4 linked regions of the Rattus norvegicus genome follow. The protein of the gene in region 2 binds, or shares a complex with, the protein of the main gene of each other region. Links are inferred from orthologs where the notes say so. Each region holds a gene or a part of one and is shown on either strand. Other genes may lie near its edges.

The links.
Region 1: Smarcd2 (region 2) and Pbrm1 share a complex: the UniProt entries of both Homo sapiens proteins name them as parts of the SWI/SNF-B (PBAF) chromatin remodeling complex. The link is inferred for Rattus norvegicus from reciprocal best matches to the Homo sapiens genes SMARCD2 and PBRM1.
Region 3: Smarcd2 (region 2) and Smarcb1 share a complex: the UniProt entries of both Homo sapiens proteins name them as parts of the BAF complex. The link is inferred for Rattus norvegicus from reciprocal best matches to the Homo sapiens genes SMARCD2 and SMARCB1.
Region 4: Smarcd2 (region 2) and Arid2 share a complex: the UniProt entries of both Homo sapiens proteins name them as parts of the SWI/SNF-B (PBAF) chromatin remodeling complex. The link is inferred for Rattus norvegicus from reciprocal best matches to the Homo sapiens genes SMARCD2 and ARID2.

Annotation. Positions count from the first base shown.
Region 1 is NC_086034.1:6,222,521-6,226,713, reverse strand, and holds part of Pbrm1 (polybromo 1), read right to left. Parts: intron 3,176-4,193; 5' UTR 3,036-3,175; intron 2,828-3,035; exon of another isoform or gene 2,752-2,827; coding exon of another isoform or gene 2,704-2,751; intron 1,214-2,703; coding exon of another isoform or gene 1,199-1,213; coding exon 1,061-1,198; intron 1-1,060. UniProt on the Homo sapiens protein: Involved in transcriptional activation and repression of select genes by chromatin remodeling (alteration of DNA-nucleosome topology). Required for the stability of the SWI/SNF chromatin remodeling complex SWI/SNF-B (PBAF).
Region 2 is NC_086028.1:91,695,767-91,699,642, reverse strand, and holds part of Smarcd2 (SWI/SNF-related matrix-associated actin-dependent regulator of chromatin subfamily D member 2), read left to right. Parts: intron 1-1,847; coding exon 1,848-2,032; intron 2,033-2,164; coding exon 2,165-2,207; intron 2,208-2,331; coding exon 2,332-2,454; intron 2,455-2,649; coding exon 2,650-2,805; intron 2,806-3,200; coding exon 3,201-3,296; intron 3,297-3,424; coding exon 3,425-3,526; intron 3,527-3,876. UniProt on the Homo sapiens protein: Involved in transcriptional activation and repression of select genes by chromatin remodeling (alteration of DNA-nucleosome topology).
Region 3 is NC_086038.1:12,754,209-12,758,401, reverse strand, and holds part of Smarcb1 (SWI/SNF-related matrix-associated actin-dependent regulator of chromatin subfamily B member 1), read right to left. Parts: coding exon 4,051-4,193; intron 2,598-4,050; coding exon 2,407-2,597; intron 1-2,406.
Region 4 is NC_086025.1:129,409,741-129,413,933, reverse strand, and holds part of Arid2 (AT-rich interactive domain-containing protein 2), read right to left. Parts: coding exon 2,721-4,193; intron 1-2,720. UniProt on the Homo sapiens protein: Involved in transcriptional activation and repression of select genes by chromatin remodeling (alteration of DNA-nucleosome topology). Required for the stability of the SWI/SNF chromatin remodeling complex SWI/SNF-B (PBAF).

The sequences.
Region 1 (4,193 bases), on a different chromosome or scaffold from region 2:
TGGTGTGTTGTGTATTCATATACACAAAAGAAGTAAAAAAAAAAAAAAGCGGGAGCTAGAGAGAGAGCTCAGTGGTTAAGAGTACTAGCTACTCTTTCAAAGGACCTGAATTTGATTTCCAGCACCTACACGGCAACTAATAACTGCCTACAGCTTGAGGTATAGGGTGTCTGACACCCTTTCTTGGTCTCCGAGGACACAGTGCCTTTAACATACAGGCAAAAAAAAAAATTCATACTCATAAAAAATAAATTTTTTTAAAAAAGTCACCTAAGCTGGGCATTAGGGACACACAACTTTAATTCTAGTACTGAGAATCTAAGACAGGAGGATTGTGCACTCAAGCAAGCACATTAAACTACTAAGCTAACTCACTAGCTCCTCTTTCCCCACATCACAAACTCTTCATCTTAGAACGTCCTACTGGGTGCTAGTACTTTATTACAGTTTATTCATTTGTTTCTATTCCACGCTGGAATCTATGCGTCATGTGAAACTGGAGAGAGCCTCAAATATAACCATATTTCAGTAACTTGAACAGTGCTCACAACTTGCTGCCAGCCCTGACTTGAGTTTAGTCTGCATGGGAAAAGAAGACTGGACTCCCTCAAGTTGTCTGCTCACCTCTGCACTCTGGCCACAACATATAGACACAGTGCTCACCTCCTCTTTAAAACATCTATTTATTCAATGTATGAGTGCTCTATCTGCATGTACACCTGCAGGCCAGAAGAGGGCGTCAGATCTCATTACAGATGGTTGTGAGCCACCAAGTGGGTGCTGGGAATTGAACTCAGAACTTTTGGAGGAACAGCCAATGCTCTTAACTGCTGAGCCATCTCTCCAGGCCCTCACCACATATATAACACAATTCACTGATACTTTAACTTCAAAATATTAAATCACACCATTACTGTTAGACTTGTGGCTATAGACAGACTTCTACAAACCTATCAAACCAGAGGGGGAAAAGGCCATGTAGCTGCTCAACTGCTGCAAAGAGGGAAGGGTGGGCAAACCACGGGCAAGCGGGCAGAAGCGTGAAGCCTGGGCTACTTACAGGATCTACGGTAGGAAGACTGGACAGTCTTCTCCTTTTCCTGCTTGGGCCCGGTGTAGGCACAGAATGGTGCCCGTCATCAAAGTCTCCACTGACACTGCTGGACGGGGAGGTGGCTCTTCTTCTCTTGGACCCCATGGACTCCAACTTCTTCTATAAGAAATAATTAGCCAAGTTCTTATATTTAATCGTCAACAATGTCAACTAACTCTCAGCTGGACACACATCACCAAACTGCTCGTCCATTTAAGACAGCTGATAGTTCTTTCCAGAGGAACTGAACTAGCTCTAAGTTCTTTTGTTAATTTAAGTCCTAGACTTCAATGATTTTTAGCCTTGTACTTATCAGAATGCTGTACTGTCAACCTCTAATGGGGCAAATTTGGCAGAAGTACACACATTTATATGTCAATCATTCTAAATTAGCCTACCATGTCTACTCCAGATTTATCCTGAAATGTGGTTTCCTATACGTGCTAGACATTTAAGAAAGTTACTTTTGCTGTGTACAGCGTCTTGCCTGCCTAAGCATCTATGCATCACATGTGCGCCTGAGGCTGGAGACCATGTCTCCTTTTAGCACCTTCCCCCTATTTTGGACAAAGGGTTGTTTATTAACCCTGGAGAATATCTAGTCAGTCAGTGCCTGAGACCCACCTGTCTCTGCCCCTCCACTGAGAGGGCTACAGACACTCCTACCCACACATGGCTTCTAAGTGGGTGCTGGGGATCCGAAGTCAGATCCTCACCTTTGCACGAGCTCTTTACCCACTGAGATGCCTTCCTCATCTCTAAGACACTATTCTTTGATAGACACTTTAACCCCATCACTTGACAAGAAAGCCAGGGGAGCTCTCTGTGCATTCAAGGCCAGCATGGTCTACATATTGAGCTCTATGTCGGCCCGGGCTACATAGTGTCTCAAATAAAAAAAGGAAAAGAAACCATTTTTAACATAACTTTACAATATACACATTTGGCTATAATGTAAGAAATGCAACCACAGAGATAAATTACTATAGGTAAAGGGCATAGACCCCAGGACGTCCTACAGTGCTTACATAATTTAACAGTCCTATCAAATAGTGAGTGCATTATAATCTCAAAGGGCTTTCCTAAAGGTAAAAGTAAAAAAGACTTAAGTCTCGCTCAACTAAATAAACAACAGTAGACCAGTGGCTGCCTGTACTACAGAAAGAAAAATTGGGGATCTCCAGGAAATAGAAAGCAAGAACAAAAACAAGCAAAAAAAAATCTGTTGAGCAAGTAAGAAACAAGAGGGGCCCACTACCTCTTGCTTTGAACTAAAGTCCACACTCTGTTTAAAACAGAACCCACAGCGATCATGTCCCTTCTTACAGGCTTTGGTTTAATTACCAAGAATATTAGTCTGAAATTGACTAAAAGTAGTTAAAAGTTTCTACATCCTTAGGTTAAGAACACCCAGGTTCTGTTGTTGTTTATAAAAGACTGCTAACTGGCCATAATTCCACAATTTAATGAAATTAAGGATTAATCCTTGGAAACGCTCTGATAAACACAGGAGGGACTCGTATGGGAAGAATTATTACAAACTTCCGAACGTTGAGGGAAAGGTAAAGAGCGACAGAGACAGGAAAGGGTGAAGATGATCAGTAATTTACCAGCTTTACCAGAGCACAACCAGCGCCTCGAAAAGCCAATCTCCTCATTATGTCTGCAGGCCAACTGAAGCCAGTGAGAGAAGGGAGGGCTTTATAAGGGCTTATTCAGTTAGTCTATTCAGAACTGAAAGAGAAGAACAAGGCAGAGAAAGGGGAAATAGGGATAAAAATGAGTCACGAACAGACAGAAAACATACATTCAAGTAGAACTGCTAAAGAGAGAGACACAGGCACATCAGTCAGTTCTCAGGTGCACCTGACATTTCTTTCATTTAAAACCCCAATGCTTCCACATGCTTAGAAATGTCTCACTGCGTTTCACCCTTACTCACATGAAATGACTGTCAATTCCAGGAATGGAGCATGCCTGCCCAAGTGCCCCCTAGTCAATAAGAGCAGAGTTCAATCACAGAGCTGGGATGGAGAGTGAACACATGTGGGAGGCTCACATGTGACACCAAGTGTTGGCAAGCTGGAACAAACCAAGAATGGCTCATGAGAGCAGACTCTACAAAACTCTTCCTCCCCTCCACCCAAGAATCAGAGAAAAACATTTCTTTCTCAAAGTTCTATCTGCACTGAAAAGACACGGCATTTAAGTTTAGCAGAGCTTTAAAAGTCTTCAATTATTTTGGCAATTTAAAATGACCTTTTATAATGCACTAGAAAGCAAATGACAAAAAATGTAAATTATTAGTATTGCGTATATTGCAGTTTTAGATGATGCGACAGCCCAGATCCTTTAATCATTAACACACTTTCAAAAGACAAAAGATACAAGAGACGGGTTTTTTCATTTTTCTTATCCAAAGTATACATTTTAACATGTAATGTGAAAGAAACAAAGGACCCACACTCAGGAGTCAGACCTTCTGCCTCTAATTATCTGTAGGATGCTGGACAAATCGCAACTCAGATCTGTTTCTTCATCTTTAAATGGGAACAAGGGCTGAGCAGACAGCTAAGTTGGAAGAGTGGTTGCCTAGCGGATTGGAAGGCCCCAGGTTCAATCCCAGCACCGCATGGAACTGGGCATGGTGGTGCACACATGCAATGTTACCATTAAGAAAGTGGAGACAGAAGTACTAGTTCAATGTCATCTCAAAACACACAAACAAACAAACAAACAAAAACCCCAAATGAAAACAGCAAAGTGTACTCATAGCCTTTTGGCACTGAAGAAATAATGCACATGAAATTACTTTGAAATTGCAAAGCAAACCTCTTAAGCTCCCTAGGCACAAAAACTGGGTCCTCTTTATTTTTGTATCCCATTCTATAAAATAGTGCCAGATATAAACTAAATGTTCTGAAAATGCATATAAGATGTTTAAAACAAAATAGCATCATTTAAAAATGGTCTCTAAATACTACTTCATTATTTCTTTATCCATAAGCAGCAAACAAGTGATTCTGGGGTTTAATGTCAGATGTTAGGATGGTCTTATTTGAAGAAGATCCAGGAGTCTGACAATGACTCTGGACACTCC
Region 2 (3,876 bases):
TGGGGCAGGCTGGCCGAGAGGCTGAGACTCTGTTTCAGTGACTTTGTTTTGTTTTTAAGTCGGAGTTACTCAGCTCTTCAAAGCCCAGGTGTAGAGCTCGACAAGAAGAAACTAGGACTTGAATTGTGAGCAGCCTTCCCCTGAGGCTGCGGGTGAGCCAGGGGACTGAAGCCCAAGCCCCAGAAGTGGGGAACAGATGTCTGGGTGGGGCCTATTCCAGGCCTGCCTGGGCTGCCTTGCGGGGGGATTTCCTGGAGGGCTCAGCAGTGCTATAGGCTTTATGAACCTTGGTGGAGAGCTTTTGGGGGACCAGAGCGCCTCAGATATATCTGCAGTAACTCTAGGGAACCCTCAAGTCTGGGTGATGATGGGGTCTTAGAGCTTCGGCCACCTGAGGCTTTTCTTTTGTCCCCTCCCCCCTTCTATAATCTCTGGCTCTGGCTTATTAGAGCAGAGAAACAGGCTGTCTTCTGCCTTTCAACAGCTTTGATGAATTTCTTCCTGATGAGGAGAGACTTGTGGCAGGACTCCCAAGGTCCCAGGGTCTCCCACTTTTAACTCCTCAATTGCCACTGTATCCTTGCTCTGCTCCTATCCCCTTTCCCTTGTCTCTGGGTCGTGTTTCTTCCCCTCCCTCTGCTACTGGTCATGAGTCTGACTCCTTAGTGCCAGATAAAGAAGTCGCAGAGACTCATCTTCAGGATGCTTGGGTGTGGGGGTTAGGGGGTGGGCCTTTAACTTGGTATGAATCTCCACCCAGGCTGGCCTGGTTGTCTGGTTGTACTGATTGATTGCATAACCTGGGCCCCGGGGGCCAGGCCTGTGAAGCTGCCAGGGACAGTGTGTGCAAGGCAGAGCTGCCAAACAGGCCTTTCAGGCAGCAGCTATGTGCATGGAGCTGGGAGGTGGAGGGCTCCCAGAAAGGTTGGAAAACTGGGCCTTGGATGGGAAGTCAAGAAGCTACTCGTGTCACCCAGATTGTTGCTGTGACTCTGTGTCCTTCCATCCCAGACAGTCTTAGTCTGCAGTTTGGGCTGGCTAGGGTTAAGTCGGACCAGCAGCAGCCTGGCTGCCAGGTGGTGCCGAGACCATGGGCAGAGGCCAGATGTTTGCTGTTCTCATTCCCATAGGCCACCCAAGAACCATAATTTCCCTTTTTGAGGGTCTTTTGACATAGAGATAGGGGCATGGCAATGGGGGGGGGGGGGCAACAACGGGTTCAGGTTTTGTAGGGGCCATATGGTGACCAGATGGTGTCTATACTCTCCTGAGGCCATCCCCACAAGTTGTGACATAGCAAAGCCATACATTATACTGCTCACCTGAGGTGCTGCTGCCTAATGGTTTGCCATCCCTACTGCCTTTCTTCCCGTCATGCCACCAGGCACAGGCTGTTTACATCCTCCCGGACTCCCCTGGTTGCTGTTGCTATGCATTGCCTCTGGTCTCCCGAGTAATGTTTTTCCTTCAGGATGGGGAAAGGAAGAAGGGGTGTCTAGGGGCTATCTAGGGACTCTATAAATACCTTGAAGCTGGCCGATCCCAGGGTGCAGGACATAGCATATTGGAGCTGGAAAGGTGTTGATAAGTCCTAAAAAATTCCCCAGGTCCTGCCTTCTGCAAGAGGCACTCTCCTCCCGCCCATGGACTCCGGCTGCCTCATTTGTTGGCACGGCTGCCAGGGCGGTTGCAGGGGCGGGGCAGGTGTGGTTTACACGCTGGGCTCAGGCGCCTGTTCCCCTTTGTTCCTGGTCTCCCCGTGTGAGAGGGAGATGGAGGGTATGGGCTATGGACCTCGTAGGGCTCTCCCACTGACCTGTGCCCCTCCACTGTTCCACTTTCCCCAGCGACCTGGCATGTCCCCAGGAAGTAGGATGCCCATGGCTGGCTTGCAGGTGGGACCTCCGGCTGGTTCCCCATTTGGCACAGCTGCTCCACTTCGACCTGGCATGCCACCTACCATGATGGATCCATTCCGAAAACGCCTGCTTGTGCCTCAGGCCCAGCCCCCGATGCCTGCCCAGCGCCGAGGGTAAGACCTTGCCTGTCTCGTCTCTGGTGGTAACCTTGACCACAAGGAGACTCTTGGCAATTTGGGAGAGGGTTTTGAAGATAGTGAGTTTGGACTGTTAAATTCTTAAATGGGTTTCTGTTTTCCTACTAGGTTAAAGAGGAGGAAGATGGCAGATAAGGTTCTACCTCAGCGAGTAAGTGTGTTACGGAGGCCTGCCCAGGTCTGGCTGGCCAGGGTGGGGGTCCTGGAGTGAGCAAGGAGGGAGAGTGTTAGAAGTAGAGCTGGTGAAGCAAGCCATTGGATTTCTCAACCTGCAGATCCGGGAGCTTGTCCCAGAGTCTCAGGCATACATGGATCTTTTAGCTTTCGAGAGGAAGCTGGACCAGACCATCGCTCGCAAGCGGATGGAGATCCAAGAGGCCATCAAGAAGCCTCTGACGGTATATACTACCCCAAGTTCTCCCAAACTATTTTTCCTCCCTGGCCTTGTTTTCCAGGGAAGAGCTTGGGCTTGAGCAGTACTTCTCACACAGGGAGCCATCCATCCACTAGAGCGCACTCAGTTTCGCATGCGTTGAGGTGGTGTCTTGCTACAAATGGCTACTCACTCAGTCCTGCCTCTTCTTCCTCTTTAGCAAAAGCGAAAACTTCGGATCTATATTTCCAATACATTCAGTCCCAGCAAGGCAGATGGTGATAATTCAGGAACTGCAGGGACCCCTGGGGGAACCCCAGCAGCAGACAAGGTGGCCTCCTGGGAGCTTCGAGTAGAGGGAAAACTTCTGGATGATGTGAGTTGGGAAAAGAGGTATTGGGAGGGAGAAGGCGTGTGTGAACTTAGACCATGGACAGACATGAGCGTCTTTATGAAGTCCGAGCCTAGGGAAAGGGTAGATCTACCCAGTTAGAGGTTAGACTTGCTGGTGGGGTTGTTGTTTCTGTGCTGGGGATCAAAGCCTGGACCTCACACATAATATACTGGTCCAGAGTGAACATCTGTAGTTACTGCACTACAACTTTCCTGTAGATGGCAGTCAAGGGTCTTGGATTCACTCCCTGATTGGCTGGCAGTGGGGTTCATGAAGAGCCCTTTTCCTGCCACTTTGCCCACACATTGATGCCGACTCGTTTCTTCTGATGAATAAATTCAGCAGCACACTCGTCTTACATAGCTCTTTCCTCTCAGCCTAGCAAACAGAAGAGGAAGTTCTCCTCATTCTTTAAGAGCCTTGTTATCGAGTTGGACAAGGAGCTGTATGGGCCTGACAACCATCTGGTGGAGGTAAGAGTGGTTCTAGAGTCTGGGAGGGACAAGCTGTCAGGGGGTACAGCGCATGACATCAGTGTGCTGCTGGCAGAGTGCTGTAGCCCATCTGCTAGCGATGAACTCTGCGTTCTCTTGCCTGACAGTGGCATCGGATGCCCACCACTCAGGAAACAGATGGCTTTCAGGTGAAACGGCCAGGAGATCTCAATGTCAAGTGCACCCTTCTGCTCATGCTGGATCATCAGGTGACAGTTGCTCAGGGTCACAGAGAGGGTCACAGGCTTCATGCAAGGAAGGGTATAGGATCCTTTAACTCAGCTGTTCTCAACCTGCGGGTCATGATCCTTTGGGGGTGTGGTATCAAGTGACCATTTCACAGGGGTCACCTAAGACCACTGGGACACATTATGATTCATAACAGTATCAAAACTACAGTTAATGAAGTAGTAAGAAAAGCGATTTTATGGGAGCAGGTCACCACAACACGAGGAGCTATATTAAAGGGTTGCAGCATTAGGGAAGTTGAGAACCTCTGTTCTAACTCCTTCATATTCTGTTTCTGCACAAGAGCCTTTCCTGACTCCCTCTGTCCATT
Region 3 (4,193 bases), on a different chromosome or scaffold from region 2:
ACAAATGGCTACATAGTGTGGGATGTGAATGGGTGGCTACCAGGATGGCTTAGCTAGTGGAGTTCTAGGACAGCTCTCCTCTAACCAGCCCATCCCCTAACTGCTGCTGCCGCCCAAGGAGAGGGCCATGTTTCTCAGTCCCTCATTCAGGCTCTGCTGCCAGGCCTGACTGAGGACATCCATACCTCTGCCCAGCACGCGATCCTGGCAGTGCTTGGCCCGAGCAGTGTCACCTCCTTTCCTTTTCTCTCTGCTCTTCCTGCCTCAGCCAGCCCTCACCAGATGGCTTCCCCTTAGGCTCCGTGCCCACTCCCAGCCACCTTTCCTCTGGCACACGTAGAGTCAAACCATATTCACGACCACAAGTAACATGCCTGTTTTCTCCTGTGCCAGGCAGGAAGTTGTTCTCTGCTCCCTGGCTTGAGCACAGGGTTGGCTCAGGAGGAATTATTAGGCAATTCTAAGAGCAACAGCTCCTGCTGCCTTAATCGGCTCCTCCTCATCAGATCCAATCTGCTTCCCTGCATTTGTTAAGGCCCTGCTTTTTTTGAATAATTTATTTTATTTTTTAATGTTCATTAGTGTTTGACTGCACATATGTCTGTTGGATCCCCTGGAATTGGAGATACAGACAGATGTGATCTGCCCTGCATGTGCTGGGAATTGAACCTGGTTCTCTGGAAGAGCAGCCAGTGCTCTTAACTACTGAGCCATCTCTTCGGCCCCATTGCAGCCCTTCTTTTAAAAATGAATTTAATTGAGAAAGATTATCTGCTCTATTATTCTATGAGTGCTTTGCTCCATATATATGCATGTATACAATGTGCACATATTTGGAGTGCACATGGGAGGCCAGAAGAGGGTGCCAGATACCCTAAAACGAGACTGGTAGGCTGGGTACGGAAGGAGATGGGACAGAGACATGCAGAGATTGGCAGCCTGGCTCAAAGAAGTTTAGTGTGCTTCCAACATGGTAGAGCCTTACAACTAAGACCAGGCTGGGACTCCTCCTACCAGGGAGGAGCTGTAAGCATGGGAGGGACAATTATTTGCCTGTGACGAGTGGTTCTACGTTGTCTGTGGGGTGAAGTGATGCAGAGCTGAGAGTGCAGGGAGAATCAGGAGTGCTGGCTGTTCCCCTCTGATTCTCCTATGTCCTGTCTGTCACTGCTAGGTCTCATGCAGTGTGTGAAGCATCCCAGCTGCCCAAATGGTCCAACACACAGGACAGGTACTAAGAGCTCACCAGGCCCGACTGGCTGGGAAGATAAAATAGCCCTTTCTGATTCTGAAACCAAGTACTTGAGACATTCCAGGAATCTAGGCAAGTCACAATGGAAAGGACATTTATTTGCTCAGATTTCAACCAGAGTAGGCCTACACCCAAGGATTTGAAATCTGAACCCAGAACTAAGGATCGATCACAGCAGAGCCAGGGCCTTCCTGTCCACATTTGGGACTCAGGCAATAGAGTCCCTGAGTCCTAATGTGACACTACTGGGTGCCTTCCAGAGGGCATGTTCTAGAGCATGGAAAAACTGCAGGTGACCAGGAGACCGGAAGCCACCTGGGCCATGACAGCATAAATGCTGCTAAGGGTTGGCAATAGAAGAAAAGGACGCCAGCAGGACCCATCATGAGCCTCGAGAAGCTTCGAGCCCTGACCATAGCACTTAAAGCTGCCGCATAGCAGGGTGAAGGCAGACACTTGGTACCTTGCTGCTAGGAGCATATGCACAATCTCAAAGTGGGTTCCCACTCAACTCCTGGCTGTGGATGCATCCTCTGTATCAGTGACACTCCCAGGACCTAAACAATGTTACCTCGGCTTGACTCCGGGGAGGAAAGCCCTTTTACATTGGCTGAGGCTTGCTGGCCTTGGCTCCATACAAGGACAGACATCAAGGCTAGAAAACAGAACTGCTTGGCCGAGGGGCTGCTAGAGGAGTCTGAGCAAGCAACTCACCCGGGCCTGCTTAGCTTCTCAAGCGCTTGGGTGGAGGGGCTCGTACCCTTTAGGACACACCTCATTTCTTGTTACCCCCCCACTCCAAAACATTCTTACTATTTTATGTGTTTGGGTGACTGCCTGCTACATGGCTACATACCCCTTACATTCCTGGTGCCCACAGAGAGCACTGGATCCCCGAGACTGCCTCTCTCCAGACCCCCTTTTCTCTTGCTCCTATTACAGAAATCCCTAAGAAAGCTGATTCTTGGGATGTCTGGTAATCTGATCTGAGTTCACACCTACTAACAAACTTCCTGAACTACTGCGTCTGCAGAAAGCCCTCTGCTTTCGCTTTTCCTAAGCATTCCAGTTCTCAATGAGGTCCTTTCCCAGTGGGGGCAAGGAGTGACAAGAATGCAAGACCAGGGGAAAGGTGAGTGTGCTAGTTGTCCTACCTGAAGGCATAGGTCTTCTGGTGCCAGCTCAGCTGTCCTCGGATGCTGTACGCAATGGTGGTGACAAACTCCCCGCCCAAGCCCAGCTCTGAGCACAGCTTCAGGGCAAACTTCTCTGGGGAGTTCTCTTTCTCTGACATGTCCCATTCAAACTGGTCCACCAGGGAGATGTTCCCCACATGGATGTTCAGCTGCGGCAGGAACCAAGAAGCACAAGTGAAAGCCGGAAAGTTAGTCACCCAGGAAAGCCGGGAGGAGGTGGGGACAAGCCATTCTGAACAGCCAGGTCTGAAGCATTTATGCCCGTCACTCAGAAGCTGAGGACCAAGGCTAGCCCTTGTCTGTCTAGCTCCTTATAGAACAGAACCAACTTCCCAGGTTGCCACTAGACACTGAGGTTCTGGGCACCTGATCCCTTCTTAACCTGTCTTCTCATCCCCTTGTGTCCCACACTGACCAGTGTCTTCCTTGTCCTTCCCACCTCGGGCAATCAACCTTTATGTAGCTATGCTGGCCATGCAGAGCTCTGCTTACAGAGATTGTCCTGGAGCCTACTTTAAGCCATTATCCATACCCTAATGTCCCCACTTTACAAGCATCCTACCAAGCAGCTCACGAGTACACTGACCCTATGTTCCTTCACCCCTTAGAAAGATAAGCTAGCCCCAAACTTCATGGAAGGAAAACAGTAACTCCACAAACATGCGCTCTGCCCTCCACATGCTCATGGTGACACACGCCGATAATAAAGAAAAAAAATCAATACAGTAAGACACATGTATAAGAGCACACACACTGATACGGAAGCTAAAAAAGATTCAACATGATCTGATACTCAACACCCATTAGGATGGCTACATTCAAACAAGAAAGGGAGAAAGAAACGGGGAGTGAAGGAAGAGGGAAGGAGGAAACGAGGGAGGGAGGCAGGCTGGTTATGATAACTTTTACTGACCGACCCCGGGGAGAAACTGGCACTGTAGTGCATGGTGAGTGGGGGCATAAGACGGTGTAACTCCTGTACAAGTCTGGTAGGTCCTCAGCATAATAAAGGGTAGCCAAGTGACCTAGAACTTTCTTTCCTAAGATTTATTTATTTTTATTTAATGTGTATTGGTGTTTTGCTTATATGTATGTCTGTGTGAGGTTGTGAGATCCTGGAGTTACAGACAGTTGTGAACTGCCATGTGGATGCTGGGTATTAAACCCAGGTCCTTCGGAAGAGCAACCAGTGCTCTCAACCACCGTGACCTACCAGTGCTCTCAACTACCGTGACCTACCAATTTTAACTTGCTTAATTTTAACTAACTTAACTTTAATTTGGAGTATAAATCCAAAGAACTGAAAGCAGGAATACAAACAGGTATTTGAATCATGAAGTATTTCTAGCCCAGCCCATAGGAACATCACACTGACGCTGCACACATCACTGTGGGGTCTCCTAACTCTGGGGCTGGCTCAGCCCCTGATGGATACAGCAGCACTGGCTGTCCTACCCACAATGTGACACTTTGAAAAGTCAGCCCACCCATTGCTGAGCACTTAGTCAGGTTGTCCCTGAAAGATGTCATCCCAGAAACTATCCCACAGCAAGGAACTCTGACAGGCTTCCATCAAGGGCTGAGTGTACTCGTAGCACCTACCTTGATGATGACACGCTGGTCAGATTGGTCCTCCAGGATGCTGTCTGTGGGGTAGGACTCGATCTGCTGTCGAATGGCAGAGGCAATAGCTGGCACAAAAGTCAGTGGATTCAAGTCCAGGTCATCACAAAGTATTTCTGAAA
Region 4 (4,193 bases), on a different chromosome or scaffold from region 2:
GACAACTAAGGACTTTTTTCAAATTATCCTTTAAAATCAATGTGGAAAAAGGTTAGCTTGAACAACAAAGTAGCAAAATTAATACAACACAAGGAATGTAAAAAACATTGTGATTTGCTTCATAGTATAAAATTAACAAAAATGTTCATGAATTTAGCAGTTTTATTTCTAGAAACGATACCCTTCACTTTACTGACCTATAATTTTGCTTCCTTTATTGTCTGCTCAAAGAGCAATTATAGCTAACAATTGTAGATACCATTGATAATACTTTGATATGACATTCTTAAATTCCCTCCCTAGTATTACAAACCTTTGAGGAAGTCTGACACTGAAACATAAATTGAGCCTGGTAGATTTATAAACCCCATCTCTCAGGAACTTGGGCATCAGGGTTTGGAGTTTGAGGCCAGCTGAAGTTATATAGTAGAATATCGTCTCAGAAATCAAAACAAAACAAAACCAAACCAGAAAGGGACCAACAGGTAAAGAAGTAAAAAAAACAAAAACAGTGCTCTCTACCACATTAAAAATGTGTCCTGTTAGAACAAGTGAGAGACACAAAACATGGGAAAGGCACAAAAGAAGTAAACTACTGTTGTAGAAAACAATGTGACAAGTTACTGAAAGCTGGGCACGGTAGCACACGCTTCCCAGCAGGAAGAAGGAGGGCGATTACCTACAGGTTTAAAGCCAGCTGGTCTACAGTGAGCTCTGGGCCAGTCAGGGCTACATAGTGAGACCCTGTCTCAAAAAATAAAACAAAACAAACAAAATACAAGCTATCAGATCACAGGATTAAGAGATATAGAACGAACATACAACATGTTTTACATGATGCTGAAAAAAAACCAAACCAATATTTATTTTTAAGTTTCTAATCTTTAGGTCATTTTTACTTATAAATATGTTAATGTGGGCTTTTTGTTTTGCTTCTACCAGACTTCAATTCATGGAAATGCAGAGGGTAGGCCATCTGGAAATAATACTCTATAAGGTGCATTTGGAACTTGCAAATATTACAGATTTTAGAAGAGGAGCTATAAGTAAAGAACTTTCCCTTGAAGCAGGTACACGTTTAAAAACTTTCCAGTTAAATATCATGTAAAAATAATCAAAGAAAAAAATTAAAAAATGGTATTAAAAGCACTCTATCTTGGACCCTGTGGAGTATTAAAAACACTATCTTGTACCCTGAAGACTACCATTCAACCAGTGAACAAAGTGGCGTTAAACCAAAGTCCTAAATGCAGCCAGAACTGCAATGGGTGATAAAGGACCTGGGCAGGAGGGAGGGCTTCCCTAGAAGCAAGCGGACTTTTTTTTTTTTTTTTTGGTTCTTTTTTTCGGAGCTGGGGACCGAACCCAGGGCCTTGCGCTTCCTAGGTAAGCGCTCTACCACTGAGCTAAATCCCCAGCCCCGCAAGCGGACTCTTAACACCTTAGTCCAACAACTCCAGAGTGACTTCAGACCTGGCTTTTGTTCGTACGTCTGTCCCAGGCATCTATAGCCCCTGAAGTGCTTGGTCCTCTCTGTGAGCTCAAGCAGAACTGAGCCATTACAACTGCTCGTCTGTGGCAGGTGCCCGGTTACCCACCACGCAAAGTTGTCCTTGCAGGATTGTTTTTGGTTTTCCCATTTTCACAGACCTCCTGCTTACGTCACCTGCTTCCTGGTAACCAGCATCCAGTGTGGAGACATAGGATGCAGTTTGGAGCTGGGGGCCACTGAGAATTGAAGCAGGGCTTTATACAGGAAAGGCAAGCCACTCAACAACTCTTATACTCTCAGCTCAGAATATAATTTGTTTTTTTTTAAATGAGCTGTGTTCTCAAAGAAAATTAGTGTCTGGTTAGTACCTAATTTTTCAGATTAGCAACAAAATCTATGATTTTAATGGTCCGAGGCACCTGTGTATAACTTTTGTATTTGTGCCCTAAAAATCTACACGATAGTTCAAATAAGTACAATGTAATATAAAAGTCAGTTATAAATTGAGAGCTGGCTTCCTTCAGAGTGAACCAGGCTTCAGTCTTGGCACCACCTCATGGGCGATGGCCCTAGATGTGTTATTTACTTAGTCAGCATGAGTCCTCCCCTCCAGCACAGGCTAAGAGTCTCATGCTAACAGGATGGATTGGTGAGAGTCACTGGGAAAAGGCGTGCGTTAGTCTACAGTGCGTTAGCCAGCTGCCGTTCACTGCTCTCTGGGCTAGCGACTGCACTATCCTATGGGCGCCAACCAAATGGAAGATCAAGTGCACACAAGATGAGGGGAAATGAAATAACTCTGTAAGAGTAGAGTTCTTCTTGAATGGAGTTTGGTTCACTATCATTTTATTTAGATTTCTAACAGACTCCGAGAGGAAAATCGATCAGACATACATAATCCGATGAATTGCTAAGTTCACATGCAAGAAACGTTTAAAAATTCACTGAATGTCTACTTTGTGTCCGTCACTATAACATTTAAGTGAAACCGTGGAAGTGTGGAGATCAACAGTCACTGGGCATTACCGCCCGGAACAACATCCACCACAGGTCAAACTGCGCACAAAACTCAAAGAGCCCTTACCTTGAAGCTGGAGCTGAGAAATGTCTCATACACAAGAAGCAGGGAAGTCTTTAGCACACATGCCCGACAGACACCACGACTGCTCACGTTCAGACATAAGCGATTGGCTTAGCCTCCACGGCTGGAGGCGCCGCGGCGACTTACCTGTGGGAGCGCGCTCTGCGCGTAGGCTGGCGGCGGCGGCGGCTTCTGCTGAGCTGCGCTTCCTATTGCTACTTTAGCTACAGTGCTCGGGTCGGCGCCTGCTGGGACAGCCACCATGGTGGCACTGCAGCCAGCATTGTTGGGGTCGCTGATTGTGACAATTCTGACCCCTACTTTATTTGGAATTCCCGGGGCTGCTTCCCTATCGCCATCCTCTGCTGGCCTCTTCACAGTTTTGCACTCGGCTGTGCCGTTTGTAGACCGAGCGTCAGATGACAGAGCGGAGGCGGGCCCTCTAGATCCTGAGTGGGGAGCTGCTATGACCGGGTGCCCCTGTATGACAGGGGCTGTAGGACGCGGTGAGACAACCACACTTGGGCGCTGATGAGGCACATCTGAAGTCAAACCTGAAGCTAGAGGTCCGTTAGGCAAGTCAGTACCACTGAATGGCTGTGTCGCCACACTCGAAGCTTCTTGCACACTGCTGGTGGCCGGTGACCCACCCAGAGTTAACGCGGGTCCATTGGGAACTCTTTCTAGCTGGTCGCCTTTGGCAGTCTCTTGCTGGGTGGCACCCAAAGTCCCCTGTGGCTCCACTGGAGATACCTCACCGTTTCCTACATGATTACAAGTTTTGTGATTTGGAATGTTTTTGCTTAAATGAGAACCATCTCCTTTATCAAAATCACAGATTCCATTAACAAGGGTTTTTTTCAGATCACTTTTGACATCCTGCATGTCCACTGGTTCTGAGTTCTGTTTTCCAGATGCTCCATTCTCACCTAATTCCAACGATGGCCCATTGCTGAGTGGTGAGCACGGGTTGGGCTCACTCTGAAGTTTCCCTGAGTGTGAAGGAGGTAGACTTGAGTCACTGTACTTTCTCCCGTTTAACAGGCTCCCCACCTGGGTCTCACTCTCACTCGTGTCCCCATTGCTGGTGTTCGTGGTTCCTCGTCGGCAGGAAGGATTCTCCATGACCTCGATTTTCCGCTCATGAACATGTAGACCTGTTGCTTCCTTTGCCTCCTCCTCCTTTTGGCAAATGATCTTATCGCCTTTGAATGGGGGGGCAGCGCTGGTACACGCTGACTGTCCGGCTGGAAGCGTCTGCACCTGAAGTCCAGCTCCGGCCTGCGCCCCACTCATGCTAATACCGGCTGGAGCGATGAGCTGAGCTGCGTTTCCCTGACTCACAGTCGCAGTTGCAAAACTGGTATTTGGCACAACTGTTATAGTTACCTGGTTGCCGGAAGTCCCTTGGAAAATGGTTGCTGGGCTGTTTGAGATCAGTGGACCCGGCAGTATTTGTAAGTTGGAAATGGGCACAGTTTGCACTCCCCCCGTGGGTGGCATTGCACTTTGGACCAACTGAACATTTGGCTGTCCAACCAGCAGCTGCTGAGCAGGGGTCTGCCCCTGCGCGCCAAAGCCAGCTGCTTGGCTATTGGCCACCTGATAGACCACCTGGGG